Linked DNA regions of Elephas maximus indicus. Each later gene encodes a partner of the first gene's protein in a complex. Links are inferred from orthologs where the notes say so. Each region holds a gene or a part of one and is shown in the gene's direction. Other genes may lie near its edges. The genes, in order: ARF1 and IQSEC2.

Region 1 (11,725 bases):
CCAGGCCAGCTGCCCCTGTGGACAGCAAAGACAAGGGAGGAGGGGGCTCGGCTCTGGCTGGGTAAGATCCCATTCCTGTTAACCCCAGAGAGGGCTCCTAGAGAGACCAGGAGGCGGATTCCTGGGGTCCTTGCTCGCCCCTTCCAACAGTCTGTGTCAGCTGAGGGCACTGATCCCCACTCACAGCCTCAACTGCCTTCTCTCTAAAATGGGTCTGTGATAAGCAGAAGAAAAATGAGCCACCAGAAGCAAAGAGCCACGTAAAATCATGAACTCCTGCCAGAGGGGGCCCTGTGGAGTGTGGGCACCTTCCACCCTGGGAGAGGGCGTGTCAGAGGCACAGGCCCTCGAAAACCTGCAGTTTCTTCTAAAGTTAAACAAACACTTAACCCACAAGCCAGCAATTCCACTTCAGGTATTTACCCAAGAGAAGTGAAAACACACTTCACAAAAAGACTTGTACAAGAATGTTTATTGCAGCTTTACTCGTAAACACCAAAAACTGGAAACAACCCAAGCGTCCATCAACAGTGGAATGGATAAACAAACGGCCGTGTATTCACACAATGGAACACACTCAGCAACAAAAAGGAACAAACAGCCAATTCAGGCAACACCAGGATGAATCCAAAACGTTACGCTGAGCCAAAAAATCGAGGCACAGAAGATACATACCGTGAGTCTGTGTATACAAAGTTCTAGAGCAAGAAAAGCTAAATCAGGGGGTGGAAATTACAAAAGTGGTTGCCTGGGGGCGGACTGGAGGGAAATGGGTAAGAGGGACTCTCGTGGGTGAGGGAAATCTTCTGTATCTTTATTGAGGTGTTGGTTTTGTAAAACACATCACCGTTGTACACTTCATATCTGTGCATATCATTGTCTATAAAGTATGCCCCAACAAAAGTGGAAAAAGAAAAAGCCTTTCCTGGTGCCCTGGACAGCCTCAGGGTCCTCGCCCACCAGGAGGATGGGTCCTAGTCCTGGGGCTGTGGGACAGACCGAATGTGGCAAACAGGGTGGGAGTTATCTCTGGTGCCTCCTGGGTCCTGGGGAGGCCACTTGCTGGGTGGATGGGCCCTCAAGGCCAGCGGCAGGAGAAGGTGCTCTCCAGCAGGTGGCAGGGCTACAGAGGGGCTGACGTTCTCCATGGGCTGGGGCCAGTCGCTGGTGGGCAAAAATCTGTCCAAGGTCGGGCCCAACCCCTCCTGCACCACGCACTCCTAGGGCGGATGGAGCAGCTCTCCAACTCTGCCGGGGGGCTCTTCCCAGAACATGCTCTGCCCCCCACGGCCCTGACTGCAGACTCTCCAAAGCCCATGCCCCCAAGCCTCCACCCTGTCAGCACACCAGGGCCCACCAGTGGAATCCCCAAATCTGAGAGCTCGGGGCTAGAAGGAGCAGGCAGGTCACCAGTCCATTCCCCCTGCATCCCTCATTTACCTTCAGATGCAGCCACACACTAGTGCAATGCCCTCAAAGTGGGTCCCTGGGCGAGCAGCATCAGCATCACCAGGGAACTTGCTAAAAAGGCAGATTCTCACTTCGTACCCCAGACCTGCTGAGTCAGACACTCTGGGGTGGGCCAGAGGTTCAACACAGCCTCCAGGGAACTCGGATGCTGTCACTGGGGAACCACGCACCCAACACACAGCCTCAGAGAGCAGACTCCTCTTCCCTTCCAGCCCTCACCCACCAGGCAACTCCAGCCTCCCCACAAGGCCCCCATCTCCCAGCTCACGGGAGACGTGCTTTTATCTGGTGGATCTCCCCTAAATCCTCTGGCTGCAAAGTCAGCCCCTTTCTACCAGCAGGGCAGGATTAGCTGTTCAACCCAGCAGACACGCCCTGTCGCTAGCTGGGGTAGGGGGCATAGCTAATTCCCCAGAGATCTCACCACCCAACCGAGGGGCATGGGCCAGGCAGTAGGTACCGGAGTGAAAGCAGGCCAGGCACGGTGGAGAGGAGTGGCCACAAAAAGAGGACACTGGGGGCAGAGAGAAATGCCCGAGAGCCTGGGCCTGCTGGGAAGTTGACGCAAGTGTGTTCTTTCTAGGCCGGTCCAAACCCTGGATGGCACTGGCCCTCTTAAACAGCACAACCACCCTCAGCACTCCCATTTGAGAGATGAGGCAACCGAGGCTCAGAGAAGACAAACAACTTGCCAAGACCCCACAGTGCAGGCGCTTCTGTCAGTAGGCAGACAGCAGGGTGGGCTGTGGCAGGGGCTGAGGCTGGAGGTGCACAGAGGGCCACCAAGGACCCTGGGCCCCCAAAACCCTTCTTCTCCCTGGTTCTGTCTCTGCATCTGGCTTGGGAGGTGGGAGGCAGGGGTTCTTGTGCCAGAGAGCCCCCCAGGGGTCTAGCAAAGCCCAGGACCTTTTCATAAAATAAACGACCCACCGTCACGAAAGAAACTGACATGTTATCAAAAGCTTCAAACACTTCATGGTAGAGGAACTGCTTGGGATGGCAGGTATCTTCTTATCTAGTTGTGGTGATAGGGCCACACGTGCACACAAGTGTACACAATAACTACGTTCGGCTTATTATATTTCAACTATACCTCGCAAAGCTGTAACAAATAGAAAAGCAAAGCCTGTGGAAAAGAGGGCAAGTGTGGTGCATAGAGCTATCAGTCTCTGTCATTTGCACCTGTGACAAGACTGGTGAGGGAGATCCCCCCCGTCACTTCCACTTAGTGGGGAGCAGAGACAGGAGCCCAAGGTTACTGCAGCAGCTGCCGTGAGACCTGAAGGTCTCTGAGGTTTCCACAGGTGACAGAGTCAGAGGTCCTGCTAAAACTGCCATTCTTGACTCTGCCCACATTCAAGTTGGCAGGAAATGCCAAATGTCAGTGAGAGGCCAATAACCATGAAGACTTGTGCTTTCCCAGCCCAGTGTGTGTCCCGTGAGCTGTGTGGCCATCACACACCTCATCTGCTGCACATGTGGGCCTGAGCACTGCCTGCCTCAGACCGTGGAAAGTGTGGCTAAGAGAATGCAAGACCAGGCGGAGTGGCCATCACAGCTGCTGCCAGAAGGGCACTTGGCCGGGTGAGAGCTGAGCTACGTTCGGAGGGGCCGCCCCATCCTGGGAGAGTGTCCCAGGCACAGGGAACACAAGCGTGAAGGCCTAGGCTCAGGGCGGTCCTGGCCTTTTCCCTGGCATGAACAGGAGTTCATCTCAGAGCGGTTGGGACCAAGGAAAGGATGGCACCAGAGTGACCCCGGTTCTGGAGACTGGGTCCTGGGTACCTTCTCTGAGATGGGGAAAATGACGCAGGAGAAGGTTTTGTTTTTGTTGTTGTTTGGTTGGTTGGTTTTTTAGAGGGAAACGGACATGCTACAGAAGGGACTGGGTTGGGGGGTAAGAGGTGCCCCTTGAGCCAGTTCTCTCCCACCTCATGGTACTGGATGGTGGTCCTCACGCTGCCTCTCAGCTGCTGCGTGGCCGCAGGTGAGCTCAGCCCTTGCCAGACAAGGCTCCCCCCACCACAACCAGAGTGGCAGTTGAGGCCTGGCTGGCCTAGACCCCAGCCCAGGCCCGAGGAAGGGGGAGTCACAGGGTAGAGTGTGGGGGCTTGTCCAGGCCCTCCTCCTGAGGACCCCCGTGGTCAGAACAGACCATGATCATTCCTGCAGTGGGCCTGGAGGAGGGAAGGGGATGGGGTCCTTTCTCCATCCCATCCCTATCCGCATGGAAGCCCTGTCTCAGCGGTTGCCTCTGGCCCCTCAGAGGGCCAGATGGAGGTGGGGGAGCATAGAGAACCAGATGATCCGCCGTGCTCCACAAAAATCATTGAAGTTCTTCCCACAATTCAGCACTGGGTGTTGAGCTGAGAGCCTTGACTTAGCCGGGGACCAGCTTCAGTCCCAACTTTGGAGCTTCCCCCAGGATGGGGCCTGGTGAAGAGCCTCCCCCAGCAGTTATGTTGAGGGCACAGGGACTGCAGGAAGGCCGGGCAGAGCAGATATGCCCATGAACAAGGGTTACCTTGGGCAGTGGTGAGCTCCCCATCCCTGGAGGGGTTCAAGATAAAATTTCACCCTCCAGAGGCAATGTAGCAGGTGAGCGGAAGACTGAAGGCATTGGCCACAGGCAGACTGGGGTTCTAGTCCCAGTGTGGCTAAGAACTAGCCATATGACCTTGAGTATGCTGCCTGACTTCTCACATAAAGTACTAGCCAAATTTTAACATCCACCCGCCCCTGGGGGCAGGGCTGGTGTCCTTGAGTGTATGAGTGCTCCCTCCTCACACCTCCATTCCAGCCAAACCGGCCACTTCTGCCCCTTCACTCAGGCCCGTCCTGCCCATCCTTCCAGCCCACCTTCCTCAGGATGCTGTCCTGTTCAGCCCTGACTGCTCTGAGCATCTGTCAGGGGCAAGGGGCCCGGCAGGTTAGTCAGAAAGGGAAGCTGGGTTGGGATCTCCCCAAGCTGTTGAGTTATCAGCTAAGGTGGCTGCGGAATGTGGACACCCCAGGGCCTGTGCTCTGCGCCGCCTCCTGGCCAAGGCTGAGAAGGCACCCACTCTAGGCCCCACCTTGAAGAGATTCTATCCTGGGAGTCCCACACAAGAGGGACACGGAAGCCCTAACTCCCTTGTCAACTTGGGCAAGCACCTGGGCCTTAGTTTCGCTAAATAACTGCCTGACACTTCCTGATCTTGGAATTATTCCCCTGGTGTGCCTGCTTTAACCTGAAGACAGCTCCCTTGCCCTGGGGGCAAAACCAGGAGGCCGAGTTTGGGAGGAAGTTACATTTCTTAACCTGGAATTCATTTATTTTTAAAACTGTGTGTATCTTACACACACTCCTTCCTATGTATGATAGCCTTCACTTTTTTTTTTTTTTTCTTTTTAAAGAAAAGGGAAGGTGAGCTCCAGTTTTCAGGTACTGCCACCTCTAAGTCTGTCTCCTCACTGCTCCTTTCCTCGGTTCCTCAGCTTTGAAGCAGTTGTGATCACAAGGTTCACATGTGGCTAGGATCTCTAGGATGACTGTGGGAGACACCAGCCACAGGCCAGCTCCCTGGGGTGAGAGCCATGACCACTGCAGTTCTAGGGAACCTCCATGTCCCTCCCTGGGAATGCAGACCCAGGAGCACTTCACAGGAGTATTTGTAGAGGGGAACCCTGGTGGCACAGTAATTAAGTGCTGGGCTGCTAACCCCTGTCAAACCCACCAATCACTCTGAGGGAGAAAGCTGTGGCAGTCTGCTTCCGTGTAGATTAGTGCCTTGGAAACCCTACGGGGCAGTTCTACTCTGTCATATAAGTTGGAACCAACTCAGTGGTAATGGGTTATAGGTCCGAATGGGAGAGAGACCCCTAAACAGACAACCCCACAGCAGTTGACAGAGGTGACATCTGAGCTGGTAGTGTGATGGCAGTTGTGTCCCAGGCAGAGAACGGGGTGGCGCTTGCAGGCAGGGGAGCCGTGGGCTCTTCCACAGATGACATGTTTTGGGGGCTGGAGCAGGGACTTGTCTATGGGGGCCTGGGTTCTCATTATTTCAGAAGGAGGAGAAAAGCAGTATTTGGAGACAGGTGGGTCACAGGGTCATTGCTGTCTGGGGTGATGGCAGCATTGGCATCGTGAGACCCGGGCCACGCCAGCCCAGCGAGCAGGCCACACCGCCTTTGCCAGGTGGGTGATGGGTGCACTTGGGGACAGGAGGCTGTCTGCCGGGCCACAGTTGCTCTGCAGGCTCTGGTGCTGACCGCCTCATCAGGCAGGCCCCTGGACTCGCCACGGAGTGATTATGCCAGGACCCAAGTGAAGGCTCCACTTTTGGCCACCCACAACACCTAGGGCACTGGGCTGGAAAGCTTCCCTGCATTTCCACTAAAGCTTCTGGAATGAGGAGCACCCACCGCGGGGGATTCAAAGTCACATGAGGGTGATGGGAGGATGTAGCCCTAGGGGTCAGCTGGAGGCCAAAGTGAGCCTCACAGTGGAGGCCAGAGCCAGATTCCTGCACCCTGAGAAACTGGGGGGAGTGATCGGTTCAGGGAGGCTTCCCCAGGAAATGTCTCCTCCAAGCCTCACCGTCAAGTCTGTCCCTTCCTCATTAGAGGTCACCCAACCACCCCCCTGCAATCACTCTCCCTCGTGCCACTGGCTTTCCTGCCCTGCTGACCCCGTACTACCGGACTCAGTAAATCATTTATTTCTTCCATATAGGACGGTGCTCCCGCAGGTCAGCTCCAGGGACAAGCGCGTTTGTTCTGGTCTCTGCCAGGCCCTTGGACGGCGTCCAGTAACGTTCCGGTTTGCAGGAGGAGGACGCCGGAGGCCTGAAAGCTCCCTGGAAACCCCCTTTTCTGTGTGTGGCCGCCTGGTGGTGGCCACGGGGCCCCCCACGATGCCGCGCGCGGGCCGCAGGGAGGTGGGCTCCTTCTGCCGGCGATGGACCGGACGGGAGGGACTGGACAGGAGGGCCTGGCCCCGTCCCACCGCTCCAGGCCCCGGTTCCACGTCGGTGAGAGGCGCAGCTGGCCCGGCGCCCAGCGCGCCCACTGCCCGTCCGATCGCGTGGACCGCTAAGGCACCTGGACCCGTAAGACCGGGACCGGCCAGGGGCGGGGCGCCGTTCCCTCGCTGCTCGCCCGCCGGCTCCGCCTCCGCGCGCGGCCCGCGCATGCGCACCCGGAGCGGTGTGGGCGTGGCCTGCGATGTCCCTGCCCCAGTTACCCGGCGTCTCCCGCGGCAGCAGGCACTGACGTGGCCGCCGTCAGAGCCGCCATCTTGTGGGAGCGAAACCAACGCCTGGCTCGGAGCAGCAGTAGCAGCAGCAGCAGCCGCCCGGCCGCCGAGGGGTGAGACGGCGGGGGGCACGGTGCGGGCAGGCGGCGGGGCTAGCCCTGGGGTTCGCGCGTGTCTCGCCCCTTCGGCGGCGGCGGGACCGGAGGCAGGCGAGGCCGTAGGGCCGGGCGGTTTGGGGCTGGGCCGAGCGGTCGGGGCGCGGAGGGCTTGGTCGGCGCCTCCCGTGTCCCCCTTGTTGGCCTCTGCTACCCCGAACGCTCCCGCGCGTTCTCGCCCGGCACCCTCGCCGCCTCCCCCTCGCCGGTCCCGAGATCCGGAGGCGCGGGCTTCGGTCCTGGCCTCGCCGGGAGGTCGGGCTTTTCCTTTAAAAAGCCTTCGTTTCCTGCTCCTTCTCTGGAGCCCTCCCCGCCTTCGAAGCCGAGAGGTTTGCTTCCTCCTCTGCTCGGGAACTGCTTGTTCGAGCGGGACTCGCTCGCCGGTGACCGGCGCAGGGAAAGGAAGTTGGAGCCGGCGCGTTTGAGTCATTTTGCCCTGGCAGGGTGGAGGAGGAAGCGGGGCGCTTAGGGCTCGGGGCGCGGTGGTCTCCCAAGGACGGATGAACGTCTAGCCGGCCCCTTCCAGGCGCCTCCGGGTGCCGACCTCTGGAGAGGAAATTTTATAAGCCTCGAGGTTTATGAGGGATCAGGAAACTGAGTCTTGGATCGGCTCCGTGACTCGGTGAAGGTCACAGATCGCTAGGGTTTGAACCTAGGCCTCCTGCCTCCAGTTCCTGTTTGCTCAGAAGCTGGGAGTCGGAGTTCGCCTGGCGGGTGCTGGGGGAGGGGAGGAGCGGCTGGGAGCTGCCTGAGGGCAGGGGCCCTGGGCTTTGCCTCTGTTGCCGAATGGAGGTTCGGCTTTCACGTGAGTGAGATCTGTAGACCTCTAAGACAAACCCGGCGTAGCCTAGGAGATGCGAAGACTTTAAAGGATGCCAAGCTCAGGGAGCTGCCTTCTGAGTAAATCGGCAGTCGAGGCTCCTGTGGCCTTTAGAGGACTGAATTATCCTTGCTTTTTTAACCTTAGGACTTTTTCCTTGAATGTCTTGGGGAGTAGATAAGAATACCTCTTTCGCAGCTGGCGAATCTTTAACCTACCTGTAAAACAATTTGCTCCTAAAGTCTAGGCAGTCTCTTTAGCAGAGCTGACCTCATGCTTTCCTGTTGCACAATCCGGGTTGTTACGGCATGGAAAATGGTAGTTTTGTTAATAAGGCTTAACAATTATACAGTACTTAAAACATTAAGTAATTATTTGAGACAGTACCTCGGAGCCTGGTGGCACACTCCCCATTTCATCGAAAGGAAAAGCAAACTGCTGTTTTAAATGACTTGAGCAGAATTGCACAAGAAATGGCTGGCAGAAAACGAGGAAATTTCAAAAGCTTTTGGGTGGTCCCAGAAGTTTCTGTTAAGAGCTGCACAGTTGATGTCACCACTGGTGTTGGAGTTGTCAGTCCCAGTTCTCCTTTCAGAACTAGTGTCAGCACTTTTTCCTACTTGCTGTGTGCACGACTGGTCCTGGTGTTTCCAGCAGTGTGTCTGAGGGAGTATAAGGTCACTGCATGGTGTACTGATCCTGTGGTCTTCTGCCTTGACATTCTCCACGGGTTAACAAAGTGCTACTGCTCTGTGGTGTCATCGCCATCGGCCACGTTGGTCAGAGGTTCTTATCTTGCTTGCACTAAGATCTTCTGGTAACCTCCTAGTGGAGGTCCTCAGTCCTGGATGTGCCACATTGTAGAGTTTTACTGGTCTTCCTAAATATCATGTTGAAAAATATAATGTCAGCATTAGAAATATGCTGCTCGTGTGGGGGTATTCTCAGATACTCAGAATTGCTACTCCAGAGAGATTTAAAATCACTGGTTTGGATAATAGCTGGCTTGACTTACACTCCACCACTCATCAGTGAGAGAGAATTAGTAGAAAGCAGAAACTAGTTCTGTGCTCTCTAGGGTTCTGGATTTTAAAAATCATGGTGTTTAGCTGATTGCACAATATGAAGAGGACATTCGGACTTCTTCAACTGCTGACCTGTCTGTACCCAAAACCAGACAGGCCTGAATCTCAACAAAGGTACAGTCTGGCTTTTCTTATTCACGTCAGGAAAATGTAATATGGGCCATCAACTGCTGAGGTGATCTCCGGAGTCAAAGGGCCATAGGAGTAAACCCAACCAAGGGAAAAAAAAAATCTGTTGTGCAGGTTCTTACAATGGTATATTAATTTGGCTTGAGAGCATTGAATCAGTTTTTTCAGATTTTTCTAATTAAATTTTGCCTTGATATGTCTGGATTTAAAATTGGCTGTTAATCACAGATCAGGCTTTTCACACTTTTTTGCACACACCTTCCTGAGCGTTGTTATCGTTCTACTTTACAGATGATCAGACCTCAGCCATTCTGGATTTGCCATGCTTTTCACAGACTATCCTTGTCCACATTGTCCGTGATAGGGACTCTCCCTTTGACCCGTTCAGCCTTCATAATGGTATTAGTAGAAGTGAAGGGAAATAAAAATGCAGATCTGTTAGAGGTAGTTGGGAGAGAAACAGACATTTCTTTCAGTTGGGAGTTTGACATTAAATGAGAAGTACCTTTTTTGTGCTGTATGGCTCCTTAACCGGCATAAAAAAAAAAAAACCCAGCGCCGTCGAGTCGATTCAGACTCATAGCGACCCTATAGGACAGAGTAGAACTGCCCCATGGAGTTTCCAAGGAGCACCTGGCGGATTTGAACTGCCAGCCATTTTACTGGCATAGGTGGTTGTTAAAGATGTCCTCTTAGCATCCTCTGAAGTAGGCTTTTGGAAAAGATTTTGACCTAATTGTGAGTTGGGTCTGACCCTACGTATGGGGAAGTAAAGGGTGGTGGGAGAGAAAGGAGGAGATAGAAATTCCAGGTCACCTGGATAACACTTAAGATCATTTTTTCATCCTTAGGCTTGTACCCTCTTGTGATTGTCATAAGCTCTGTGAAATATAGTTGCACCTCATCTTTTACAGCTATTCAGGAAGGTAGTTTCGCATTCTCAGGTGGGTCAAATGGCCTGATTAGCTGGAAAAAAATGGCAAGATTTAACACAGAAACATCAGGACTCTTTATTTCTAGGAGAATCTCTTTGGCCCTCACCCACAGAGTCTTGTCACAGCAGCTGCCCTGTAGAAACTGGAAAGAATGGTGGAGGCTGGCTGATTGAGGAACCCAACCTCCATACTATCCCGTTTCCTGGTTTTACATACAGTGGTAACTGGAGCTTAACAATCTGTCATCAGTGACTAGAAAGGGAAGAAGGAGTTCCTTCCAGTCCCTGACAATAGCAAGGGGCATGGTTTAAGTGACAGCGAGGGAGGAGACAGGAAAAAACATAAAGCCAGGCAAATTTCAAAAACATAGCATTGGGAGCTATTCAGTTTAGGAGGCAGACTTTTTTATACATCTCCGAGGCCTGAAGGGTGCTGTTGCTGTGTGGTTTAAGTTACTTAGAGATTTGATTATGATCTGTGCACATCTTAAGGATGTAGGAGTGTGTATTTTGGAAACAACTTTTACTCCTAAAAGAAATGCTAGCAGATTAGAAGGATTCATTTCTAAAGGGCTTCAAGTCGTAGTATTTGATTTTATGGAAAAGAATGTCTTTTTTTTTTTTCTTCCTTTTCTTCATACATTCAGTAACTTTTGCACTACTGCATATGGAAGCTGCACAGGAAACTTAGTGGTTCTAATCCTCTGAGATACCAAAGATTTTTAACAAGAAGTTTGTAAAGTATCCTGTCAGTTTGATTTGAAGACCCTGGGGTGGTACAAATAAATAGTTAACGAACTTGGCTACTGACTGAAAGGTCGGTGATTTGAGTCCGTCCAGAGGTGCCTCAGAAGAAAGGCCTGGGGATCTCCGGAAAACTCTGCCCTTGAAAACCCTGTGGCACACGGTTCTACTCTCAACTCACGTGGTTGGCAACCGCAGGTGATCAGTTTGATTTAGGTGCAAACAGCCAAGAAAACAATTTGTAAAGTCTCTGTAGAGTCCTTTGAAGAGTAGGAATGTAGACAGAGGGACGCAGGACAGAGGATTTCCTTTTAAAGAGTGCTCTAAACAGTACGCATGCCTGTAAAGGAGCAGCTTCCTACTCCTGTATGGACCAGAGTGCAATTCTTCATTAACTGACTGATTCCATTAATTTATATTTAGACTGTATCTTTTGGCAAAGTATTTATAGCTTTGAGCATTTCTCTTGTGCCAGGGTGATAGAAGATCTTGAAAATTACTGGGAAGATTAAATGAAAATGAGTTGAAGATATCTGCAGGCAAATTTAGAAAGCAGATTTTGCAGGCACACATATCCCGCCCATGGTATTTTTATATTGCTGAGATGCCGCACTTCTGCCTTGAGAAGTTAACGGTGTCTCTAACGCTCCTGCTCTCTACACTGTTACATTTGAAGGAATGTAGGGTACTGGACCACATGGACAGCATGAAATACCATCGGTGGCTTGTTATGTTTTTACTGACAGCCCACGTTTTAGGAAAAACATCTTTGTAGATGTGTGGTTAATCTTTTTGATCATTAAGGGCCCTAGTAAATGCTCTTCTACAATTATTTTCACCTCTACCTAGTGCCAAACTGAAAACTGATAGCGGTGGGAAGGAGGACATATCCCAGGCAGAGGAAATACCATTCATAGAGTGCTGGGCTGTGATCAAAACACAAAACTCTGTCCTGGTGGAGCGAAGGCAGACAGACAGTAAACAGATGAAATAAGTGCAAGTTAAATGCAGTAGAGACCTATCAAAGCCAGGTGGGAGAAAAATCTCCCTGACAAGTGACATTTGGGCAGAGATACAAAGGAGCGAGGGGTCTGTGAGAAACAGGAAGCTTCTTATAGGCAAGGAAAATCAAAACCAAACCCACTGTCC
Region 2 (11,181 bases), on another chromosome or scaffold:
GACTCCTACCATTATTGTGGAATTGTCTATTTCCTTTTTCAATGTTTTTAGAGTTTGTTTCATCTATTTTGGAACCCTGTCATTGGGTACCTAGATATTTATTATGGCTATGTCTTCATGGTGGTGGGTTGTTCCTTTAATCATTATATAATGCCCTTCTTTGTCTTTTATGGTGGATTTAGTTTTAAAGTCTATTTTATCTATGATTAGTATTGCTAGTCCTGCTCTTTTTGGTAGCTGTTTGCTTGATATATTCTTTCCTCCTTTGAGTTTTAATAAATTTGTGTCTTCGTTTCTAAGGTGCATCTGTTGTAGACAGCATATTGATGGGTCTTTTTTTTTTTTTTAAATCTGTTCTGTCACTCTCTGTCTCTTTATGGGTGCATTTAAGCCATTTATGTTCAGTGTGATTATTTATAGGTATGAGTTTATTGCTGTAATTTTGTAGTGCTTTTTTTGTGGTGCTGATGTTTTCTTTGTTCCTCTTACTCTTTGGTGCTGAATTCTTTTTTTGTTTGTTTGTTTCTTCTGTTTTTGTAGATTTTGTGTTTTCTCAGATTTTGTTTTTCTTCTTTATTATAATGAGTAGGTTTGTTAACTTTCTTTGTGCTTACCTTGAAATTTACCCCTAGCTTCCCAAGTTTCAACCAGTCTTTTATTACTTGTTAAAGCCTTGACTTCCTCTCCATTTGAAATTTCTATATGCACACCATTTATTCCCTTTTTTATTGTTCTGATGTTGTTGTCATTTACAGATGGACATCTCTGTAAATTTTCCCTGTTGTAAATTTTTTAGTTTTGTTTTATCCTTGACAGTTCATTATCTATGTTGGTATCTGGCTGATGCTGTCTTATGTGCTAGATTCAGGTTGTTGTCTGATGTTGTTTGTTCTCTAACCAAAGGAGTCCCTTTAATAAGTCTTGTAAGTTTGGTTTGGTTTTTATGTATTCCCTTAATTTCTGTTTATCTGGAAATGTCGTAATTTCACCATCACATTTGAGCTAGAGTTTTGCAGGCTATATTATTTTTGGTTGGCAGTTTTTTTCTTTTAAGATTTTATATATGTCATCTCCTTGCCTTCTTGTCTGCATGGTTTCTGCCGAGTAATCAGAGCTTAGTATTATTGTTTCCCTTTTGTATGTGACTTTTCATTTTTCTTGAGCTTTTCTCAGGATTCTTTATTTGTCTTTGGTTTTAGCAAGTGTGATTATGATCTGTCTTGATGTTTTATTTTTGGGGTCTATCCTATATGAGGTTCATTGAGCTTCTTGGATAGTCAGCTTTTCATCTTTCATGATATTAGGGAAGTTTCCTATCAGCAAATCTTCCATGATCCTCTCTGTGTTTTCCATTTTCTCCCCCTATTCCGGAACTCCGATCACATGCAAGTTTTTGCTTTTGATTGTATCCCACATCGTTCTCGGAGTTTCTTCATTTCTCTTCATTATTTGATTTTTCCTCAAAGATAGTGGTATCCAAGGATTTGTCTTCAATTTCACTGGTCCTCAAAAAAAAAAAAATTTTTTTTTCTCATCCATTGTTTCAAATTTGCTCCTAAAACCTTCTATTGCACTGTCCATTTCTGAAATCTTGTTGTTTATCTTTTGGATTTCTAATTGCTGTTTTTGTGTGATTTCTTGTTGTTTATTTGACGATTTACTCCTGCATTAGTTTCCTGATCTCTTCCATTGTTTTGTCTGTCTTTTCCATGATTTTGTCTATTTTTTCCCTTATTTTTGTCTGCATTTTCCTTCATCTGTTGGAGATCCCTGAATATTAGACATCTGAATTCCCTATCATGTAGTTCCAGTGCCTTTTTTTCTGGCAGAAGGTCATCTGGTATTTTATTTTTGTCGCTTTCTGGAGCCATCCTCTCCTTTTTTTTTTTTTTTTTTTAATGTTTTAATATTGTCTGCTGTCTCTGGGACTTTCAGGAATTATTTTCTTCATTTATTTGTTGTAGATTTGATTGTTTCATTCTGCTTTATGTTTTATTTGATTATGTCTTGGTAGGCGGGCTGGGTATGTTTTGTTGCTTGCTTGCCTGTGTGCACGATACTTCTGAACACCTTGTCCAGGTGGGCAGGGCTGGTGACTCAGCTATGGTGTATCAGGGTGGGTCCAGCGGGGGTGGAGGGGCAGGGATGGTTAGTTTGTGGCATGAACTGAACTGGGGGCAATAGGATGGGGCTGGGGGCAGTGCAGGGCAGTGTCTGAGGGACCAAAGTCGGTACCACTTAAGGGCATGGCACTCATGCACAGTACAGATAGGCACAAGGGAAAGAAGAGGGTGAGATGTGCAGAGCTGAGTGGATGGGTGAAAGGAGAGAAACAAAGGCAAAAAAATGAAGTAAAAAAAGAAAAAGAAAAAAGTAAATAAAACGGCAGTGTGGTAGGATTCAGTGGGTGGGAGGTGGGGAAGATGCAGCAAGACCATGTGCTGGTGGCTCTCTAGCAGAGCCGTGTGGCTCAGCCTGTTGAGAAGTGGTGTGGGTGGTACACAGGGCTAAGTGGTTGAGAGAAAGGGAAGTAAAAGGGGAAAGAGAGAGAAGCAACCAACAATCAAACAAACAAAATAACGTATATATATATATATACATAAATAATAATGAAAAATACAAACAACAGCAAGATATATATATATGGTGGCGGGGGCACCAGCCATTAGGGGCTGGGCAGAATTGGAGTGGTGATGAGCTGATATCTCTCTCGCTGGGTGGCACAGCACAGCATAGCCCAACAGGAAGGGGCAGAGGTAGTGCAGGGTCTAGGTGGGAGGGAGAAGGAAAAGGAGAAGGGGAAAGATAAAGAAATAAAAAATATGGCTCTGAGGGAGCTGGCCCGTGGGGGTGGCACAGACCCTGGGAGGCAGCGTGCCAGAGGGTCTTCAGCCAAGTGGTATAGCACAGCCCAACAAGAAACTGGGGGCAGCGCACGGTGCTGGGTGGATGGGAGAAAGGAAAGGAAGGAAGGGAGAGAGAGAAGAAACAGTAAGAAAAAAAGAAAAGAAAACAAACAATAAATAAAATGGTGCTGAGGAAGCCAGTCGATGACGGTGGTGTAGACCCAGGGAGGCTGAGTGCAGTGACTCTCCAACTGAATTGTGCAGCACAGCCCCTCCAGAAGGGGTGGGGGTGGTGCACAGGGCTGGGTGGGTGGGAGGAAGGAAAGGAGAGAGAGAGAGAAGAAAAGAAGGGGAAAAAAAGAACAAAGCAAACAAACCCAAAAAAATCACAGCCCATCAAGAAGGGGAGGGGATGGCACACAGGGCTAGCTGGGCAGGAGAAAGGAAAGGAAGGAAGGGAGAGAGAGAGAGAGAGAAGCAACAAAAAAGGCTATATATATATCACAAACAATTAAACCAAAAAAAAAAAAAAAAAGGAACAAAGCAAACTAAAAAGTTACACCCCATCAAGAAGAGGAGGGGATGGCACATGGGGCTAGCTGGGCAGGAGAAAGAAAAGGAAGGAAGGGAGAGAGAGAAAAGCAACAAAAAAGCTCAAAAAAATATATCAAAAAACAAATAAACACACACACAGAGAGAAAAAGAACAAAGCAAAAAAAAAAAACAAAAGCCTGTCAAGAAGGGGAAGGGATGGCACACAGGGCTAGCTGCGTGGGAAAAAGGAAAGGAAGGAAGAGAGAGAACGACAACGAAAGCCAAAAAAAAAAAAATAACAAAAAAATGGTGCTGAAAGGGCCGGCTTATGTGGGTGGAGCAAACTCCAGTGGCAGTGAGCCAGTGTCTCTCCGGTGGAGCAACCATGGCCCATTGGCAAGCAGTGGAGGCCACCTATAGGGAAGAATGATGGGGGGTGGGAAAGCGTATATCCCTGGTTACTGAGTGCTCTGTCTCCTGCTGGGAGCTCCATGGAGTTGCCTTACTGTACTCTCTGTCTGCAGTCCTTGGTGGCTGAGGTCCAAGATGGCGAGCCCTGGTGGCAGTGAGCTGGTATCTCTCTGCCTGAGTGACCACGGCCCATTGGCAAGCGGTGGAGGCTGCCTAGAGGGAAGAAAGGTGTGGGGTGGGAAAGTGTGTATCCCTGGTTACTGGGTGCTCTGTCACCTGTTGAGTGCTCCATGAAGTTGCTTTCCCACACTTCCTGTCTGAGTTCTTTGGTGGCTGTAGCCCAAAATGGCAAATCCAGCCACTTTAGCTGGTATGGGACCTCCACTCTGTAGCTCCCCTTGTTCTCTGTCAGTTTCTTATTCCATTTGATGCTTGATTGAGTTCTTTATTCCTTCATTTGGTACTTAGGGTTCCAGGACTGATGTTTGTATCTGTTTACTTAGTTTTTCAGGTCTTTGTTGCAGAGGGAGGGCATGGTGCTTCTGTTGATAGTGCCATGTTGGCCCCGCCTCCTTTTTTAAAGCATTTTTTAAATAGTCTTTATTTTTGGCGTAAGTTTACACAGCAAATTAGATTCCCATTTCACAATTTCTGTACATATTGTTCAGTGATATTGGTTACATCTTTCATAATGTGTCAGTATTCTCATTATTTCCGTTTCCATTAATCTAGCTTCACTGCCCCCCCCCTTACCTTCTCATCTTTGCTTTATGGTAAATATTGATCATTTGGTCTCATATAGATGATTATCTAAAGGAGCACAGTACTCACAGGTGATATTGTTTATTTTATGAGCCAATCTATTATTTAGCTGAAAGATGACCGCCAGGAGTGGGTGGGTTCAGGTCCAAGTTTAAAGAGTATCTCAGGGCAATAGTCTTGGGGGATTCTCTAGTCTCTGTTGGTCCAGTGAGTCTGGCCTTTTTTTTTTTTTTTTTTTAAGGAATTTGAGGTTTCTTCTAGCTATGAACATTCTTGTAGAAGTTTTTGTGTGGACGTGCTTTCATTTCTCTTGGAGTGGGGTCATATGGTAACTCTATGTTTAACATTTTGAGGAACTGTCAAACTGTTTTCCACAGAGGCTGCACCATTTTACGTTGTCACCAGCAATGTACCAGGGTTCCAAATTCTCCACATGCTCCACAACACTTTTCATTTTCTGTTTTATTTTAGCTATCAAAGTGGGTGTGAAGTGGTATCTCATTGTGGTTTTAACTTTCATTTCCCTGATGACTTTTCATTAAGCATCTTTTCATGTGCTTATTTGTCACTTGTAATCTTCTTTGCAGAAGTGTCTGTTCAAGTCTTTTGCCAATTTTTTAAATTGGGTTGCTTGTCTTTTTGGTGTTGAGTTGTAAGAGTTCTTTATATATTCTAGATACCAATTCCTTATCAGATATATGACTTGCAAATATTTTCTTTCCATTCGAGGGTTGTCTTTTCTGCGCGAGGTGTTTTGCATGTTTTTTTCCCCAAGACTACTCCTGTGAGGTAGATGTTATTGATATGGAAATAGAAGTTCAGAGAGGAGAAGATGGAATTTAAATCCAATTTCATCTGACTGTAAAACTCAAGCTTTCTCCTCTACTACACCATGTTCACAAAGATAAATTAAGGCATGTTTCTGGCTTTAAGGAACTCAGACTAGCTGAGGACATAAAACAAGAACACAAACAAATGTGCTATAAAGCAGAGTTCCACTTGTCCCACAAGTGCCACAAGAGAGGGACAGAGGAAGTGCAGTGGGTGGTCAAGAGGAGAGAAAATACTTCTAACTGGGGAAATCAGGGCTGGTTTCGGTAAGGTGGTATTTGTGTTAAGCCTTAAAGGATGGGTACAGTTTCTTTGGATGGAGATGATGGAATGAATGGGGGTAGCATTTCCAAAGGAGTGCAGAAAATGAGGGTTGAATGAATGAATGAATGAATGAATGGAGCCTTGATCCTAACACTGGCTGTCATGGGGGCGTCCCAGGGCTTGTTGGGATGGGGACTTCTGGGACTGCCTGGGTTGGATGGGGGATCCTGAAGTTGGCTGGGATGGAGAGTTTAGGGACTTCCTGGGATTGGGGGAGCTGGGGACTGGCTGGGCTGGAGGGACTGGAGTTGGCTTGGATGGGGGCTGGAGGGAGGCCTCCTGAGAAAGGAGGTCCAGGGCTTGACTGGGATGGGGAGTCTAACTCTGGTTGGGATTGGCAGACCTAGTGGTTGGGATGGGGAGTCCGCGGGTGGCCTGGACTTGGGGGCTGCAGGGGATGGGTGTTCCCAGTACGGCTTGGATCTGAGGAACATTGGAGCGGGCTGGGATGGAGGGATTCGTTAGGCTGCATTAGGTGTGGGCCCTAGGGACCGGTGAAATGGCAAGATCTCCAGCAGGCTGTGATGGGGCTGACCCCCGTCTGGTGCCGGTGCCTTGGAGCCAGTTGGGCTGTGGACGCGGCTGGAGGCTGCAGGTGGAGCGCGCGGGGGTGGGCCGGGCAAGCCGGGTGGAGCCAGGGGCTGAGGGCGGGCCGGCGGCCTGGGCGGTCCCGCGCGGCGGCGCTACGCAGCGACTCCGCAGCGGGCGGAGCGCCGTGGCCCGCATCCTCCCAAGCAGTGGCGGTGGCGGCGGCGGCGGCGGTAGCGGCAGCTTCAGCTCCTGCTCCCGGTGCCGCCGGCCCCAGCGCTGTCTCCCGGGCCCCCCCGGGCCCCCGGGCCCTCAAGCCCGGTGCGCGCCCTCGCGTCCCGCCGGCCCCCTCCCCCGGCTGGGCCCGGGGGAGGGTGGCGCCGTGAGCGAGCGGGGACCGGGCTTTCGTGCCCTTTCCCCTGCCCCTGGGCTGCCAGGATGGAGGCAGGGTCGGGGACTCCAGGCGGCCCGGGCTCCGAGAGCCCCAACCGGGCGGTGGAGTACCTGCTGGAGCTGAACAACATCATCGAAAGCCAGCAGCAGCTGCTGGAGACTCAGCGGCGGCGCATTGAAGAGCTGGAGGGCCAATTGGACCAGCTCACCCAGGAGAACCGCGACCTGAGGGAAGAGAGCCAGCTACACCGCGGGGAGCTGCACCGGGACCCCCACGGCGCGCGGGATAGCCCCGGCCGCGAGAGCCAGTACCAGAACCTACGCGAGACTCAGTTCCACCATCGCGAGCTGCGGGAGAGCCAGTTCCACCAGGCGGCTCGGGACGTGGGATATCCGAACCGGGACGGCGCCTACCAGAACCGGGAGGCTGTGTATCGGGACAAGGAGCGGGAAGCCTCCTACCCGCTCCAGGACACTAACTACCCACCCCGCGAGCGCGATGTGGCCCAGTGCCATCTGCACCACGAGAATCCAGCCCTAGGTCGCGAGCGTGGCGGGCGGGAGGCCGGGCCAGCTCTCTCTGGCCGCGAGAAGGAAGCTGGCTATTCCGCGGCAGTGGGCGTGGGGTCGCGGCCACCGCGGGAGCGAGGCCAGCTGAGTCGTGGCGCATCCAGGAGCTCTAGCCCTGGGGCCGGGGGAGGCCACAGCACCAGTACCAGCACCAGTCCAGCCACAACCCTCCAGAGAAAGTAAGGAACGTGTGTTTGTACTTCTCCCTCCCTCTCTTCCCCTCTAGATCCTTCTTCAACTTGTCTGGCCGGCCGATAAAGTAAGAAGCCTGTGCCGGATTTCCATTTACCTCCTCTCCCTCTTTCACACTATACCAACCCACCAGGAGAAGCTGGGTTCTCCTCATCCAGCCGACACCCATTCCCTAGCCACTCCAGACTGGGATGGCCAGATGAGTGCAGGTGTCTCCCCTTGCCCAAAGCCGAGACCAGTGAAGGACTAGAGCAGTCATCATCCCCACCCCCCCCAACCCCTAGCTATATCGCTGTCAGAGGATGGCTTTTCATTTATTTATTTATTTGTTTTGGATGTACTGGTTAGGATTTTTATTGTTGGTGATGGTGTTGTCAACTCAGATTCCCAAGGAGAGAAACCTCCCCCCCCCTTTTTTTTTTTGCCTGTTTGGGTCTCCTCTGAAGGTTTTTAGTGGAGGCCTGATCTCATCTCCTCTGGCAGCCTCAGCTCCATCCTTTTCCAGAGAGGCAGGTGGGGACCAGAATGGCTGCTGGAGGCTGAGACATCTCTCTAAGGGAAACTGCAGCACATCCTGGCCCTGAGGAGCAAAGATGGAGGCCAGCCCTTGGCTAGTTCCTCAAAGTCCACCCCCTCTCCACCCTTCAAGAAAAACAACACCCAATTAAAGAGCTGTACCAGGAAGGATCTCCCCTCTTGGATGCTTTTCAGTTTCTGTGCTTGAATCTGTGTGTCCACCTATTTGGGATACCTCAACGATATCCCTTAGGTTGGTGGGACATATGGGGCTGGTGCCACTTTTTTCATGTAGGTAACATCATCAACTGGGTGGGATAAATGTTTCAAGCTGAGAGGGTCAAGGGCATGCTGACTCAAAGGGCTTCCCTAAAGTCTCCCTTATTTATTTTCTGCTGTATTGGAAAGAACACTGAACTGGGAGTTAGAAGACCTGGGTTCCCCTTCCAGCTCTGCTGCAGATTGGCTTTGTGACCTTGACTGAGTCCCTTCCTCTCTCAACCCATCGGTTCCTCCATATCTTTTTAAAAGGCAAAGGATGCTCTTTCAGGGCCCCTACAGCCTAGATTTGATGGTTCTGTGACTAATCCAGCCACACCACAGAGCAAGTCTTAAGTCCTCAAGCGAATGGACAGCACCCCCCCCCCCCCCCGCTGCTCAGCTGGTCCTACCATGTGCCACAACCAGTGGAGTGTCTCTTGGAGGCTGGGGGTGGGGAAGCCTTCTGCCTCAGGAAGTCTGCTGGGAGACAGCTCTCTGCAACTCCCCCGTGGTGAGGCAGCAGGCTGGGGTGCTGGGTTGAGATGGCTGGGCCCCAGGAGAAGCAGCTGCAGCTTGAGGGCTCATCTGGACTCCACTGCAGCGTACCCTCAGCTGGGTGTTGGTGTGGACTGGCCCAGAGTAGTCTGGGGGTGAGAGGGGTGGGCTGTCATGCCTAGGCAGTGATGCCAGGAGCCCATTCCTAGAGGACTGTGTGCAGCTTGGGGCACCACACCGGAAGAGGGATACAGATAGACTAAGGCCCATTCAGGAAAGGGCCATGGTGGGGTGAGGGCAGAGGTAGATTGGATGGGGCATTGTGGTCCTTGAGCCTGGCTGCAGAAGACTTTTCTAGAGGGGTCAGGCCTGTAACAGAGGAAGCAGCTTCATTATACGAGGGCTCCAGAGGGAAGAACCAGGAGCAACTGGAAGATTTGGGAATAAATCAGGAAGAACTTTGCAATCTGGCTGTCTGGTGATGCGGTGGGCTGCCTCAAGTGGTGGGGGCGGGGGTTGTCTAGACATGTCCAGCAATGGCCAGATGGGGGTCTGGGAGAGCTGGAGAAAGCATAATTCCTGAATCAGGTATAAAGCCCAATGAAATGACTTGAGCCTTCCCAATTCCAAAATTCCATTATCCTCAGAGTATCCATCCTGCTGACATGGGTCAGATCTCCGGGCTGGCTGGAAGCCCATTTGCTCTTGAGCTCCATACTTCTACCATCCATGCAGGACCTGCCTCTTGGTCCTTCCCTCCTTTTGTGCACTCTCCAGGTTGTTTGTTGGATTTTCTTTCTTCATGTTTCCTACTGGATTAATAAGGAGGTTTACCTAGTACTTTGCATTTCTCTCAATCATGTATTAACCAACATTTGTACATCCATCATTAGCTCTTTTGGCCCTTACAACAGGCCCTTTGCAGTGAGCATAATCAGCTCCATTTTAGAGATGGGGAAACTGAGGTTCCAAGATGAAGAAACCATGCTCAAGGTTATGCAGCTAGCTATTAATGGAGCTGGGACTAGAACCCAAGTCTGCCTATCTCCAAAGCCTGCTATTTTGCCACTAGATCTTTCTAACCCACAGGAATCTCTTGGCCTCAAAAGCTGGACAGGTACTGAACTGAAAGAGGCCAGAAGAGCCTTGACTATCTAGATGCTTTTAGCAGGAGGAGATGACTGGGATGAGTGGGGGAGTTGGTGGGGGAGGGAAGAAGTCCGTGTCTCCCTTCTTTCCACTCTCCCTCCTGGTCAGGCGTCATGAGGGCCTTGTTGATTCAGTAGCCAATGTTGCCACCAGTGCTGCTGCACATGACTCCCCTGCCAGACCTGTTCTGGGTTCTTAAGGAGTGGGTGAGAAGGCTGCTGCTGGAAGCGAGGGCAGGCAGAGTGGGAGTTTAGCAGCAGAGGCTGCAGCATTGGGGGAGGATAGGTAGAGTTGGTACCAGCTGGGCGTTCCTGGTTCCCAGGCTCCCTCTGGTGGACAAAGAGGAGAGAGTGTGGCCTGGGCTGAGCTGCCGCTTGTTGGGGGTCTGCTCTGCCTAGGGGTTTTATTTAGTCCTCGCAATAATCCTGGGCATCTGTCATCACAATCCACATTTTATAGCAGAGGAAACTCAAAGAAGTGAAATGACACACTGGAGGTGATGCTGTTAATAAGACAGACTCCCAATCCTGTGAACTTTGGCTCTTTACTGCATTGGATGTCAGCTGTCACGTCCAGCTCCACTCATATTATCTACATGTGATTCCCACATCCTCCTGCACTGTCTCTTCTGGATAGGCTCCAGTATGCCGGTATCCCTTCTGCTGTTCTGTAAGTGTGGCCTTTCTAGTGCAGTGTAGAGCAAAAGGAGTCCCTACCTCCTTCTGGACGCTGGTCCTCTGTACGTGAGGGTTTGGTTGGCTTGGTTTGTTTTGTTTTTACGGAGCTGTTGGTCCTCACCAATGCTCGGATCTTTTTACCTGAAATCGTTGCCTCCATCCAGGTGATTAGAGAAGAGTGCTGCTTTTGTTGTTGATCTTGACCTGGCCCTCCCTTGCAGTTCTGGCACCCAGAATGATTTATAGGAGTGCTAGGGGCCACTGCTGAGTTGCTCCACGCTGAAGAGAGCTGCCTTTCCCACGCTTGTTGCATGGGCCCAGCTCAGGCTGTACTGTAGGCAGTGGTGAGTTGGAGCTGTTTTGGTGGTAGCTCTCCAGCTTCTGTCCCACCCCCACCCCACAAGCTGCTCACATTTGGAGACAGCAACTAGAGGGACCAGCCTGCTGTTCTTGACGACCAGGGCAATGTGTGGCCTAACAGCACGACTGCTGGGCTGTCTTCCTGCATGCAGTGGGGGTGTTCTCATGCTTCTGGCAGGACCTTAGGGTGCTGGGAATGAGTGAGTGAAAGAGAGCACCTAGGGAGGGGCTCTGAGGAAATCTATCTCCTTTGGGGTCTAGGGTACTTTTCCCAGAGGTTGCTCATTTCCAGGAGGGAAAATCATTTTATCTTACCCTCACTGTGTTGTGAG

Evidence for each region.
Region 2: the proteins of ARF1 (region 1) and IQSEC2 are in contact, whole or in part, in a crystal structure (PDB 6FAE), measured with the Homo sapiens proteins. The link is inferred for Elephas maximus indicus from reciprocal best matches to the Homo sapiens genes ARF1 and IQSEC2. Residues at the interface, in NP_001019397.1 of Homo sapiens: Arg19, Gly24, Leu25, Asp26, Ala27, Lys30, Thr31, Ile46, Pro47, Thr48, Ile49, Gly50, Phe51, Asn52, Val53, Glu54, Thr55, Thr64, Trp66, Asp67, Val68, Gly69, Gly70, Gln71, Lys73, Ile74, Pro76, Leu77, Trp78, His80; in NP_001104595.1 of Homo sapiens: Arg810, Gln811, Gln841, Arg845, Val846, Gln847, Gly848, Glu849, Ala850, Gln851, Val853, Glu854, Glu858, Asp879, Phe882, Ile883, Phe886, Ala887, Ile889, Leu890, Asn892, Thr893, Asp894, Tyr896, Ser897, Pro898, Ser899, Val900, Arg904, Met906.

Annotation. Positions count from the first base shown.
Region 1 is NC_064820.1:232,616,101-232,627,825, reverse strand, and holds the start of ARF1 (ADP-ribosylation factor 1), read left to right. Parts: upstream 1-6,716; 5' UTR 6,717-6,822; intron 6,823-11,725. UniProt on the Homo sapiens protein: Small GTPase involved in protein trafficking between different compartments. Modulates vesicle budding and uncoating within the Golgi complex. In its GTP-bound form, triggers the recruitment of coatomer proteins to the Golgi membrane.
Region 2 is NC_064846.1:115,398,080-115,409,260, forward strand, and holds the start of IQSEC2 (IQ motif and SEC7 domain-containing protein 2), read left to right. Parts: upstream 1-6,439; 5' UTR 6,440-6,674; coding exon 6,675-7,378; intron 7,379-11,181. UniProt on the Homo sapiens protein: Is a guanine nucleotide exchange factor for the ARF GTP-binding proteins.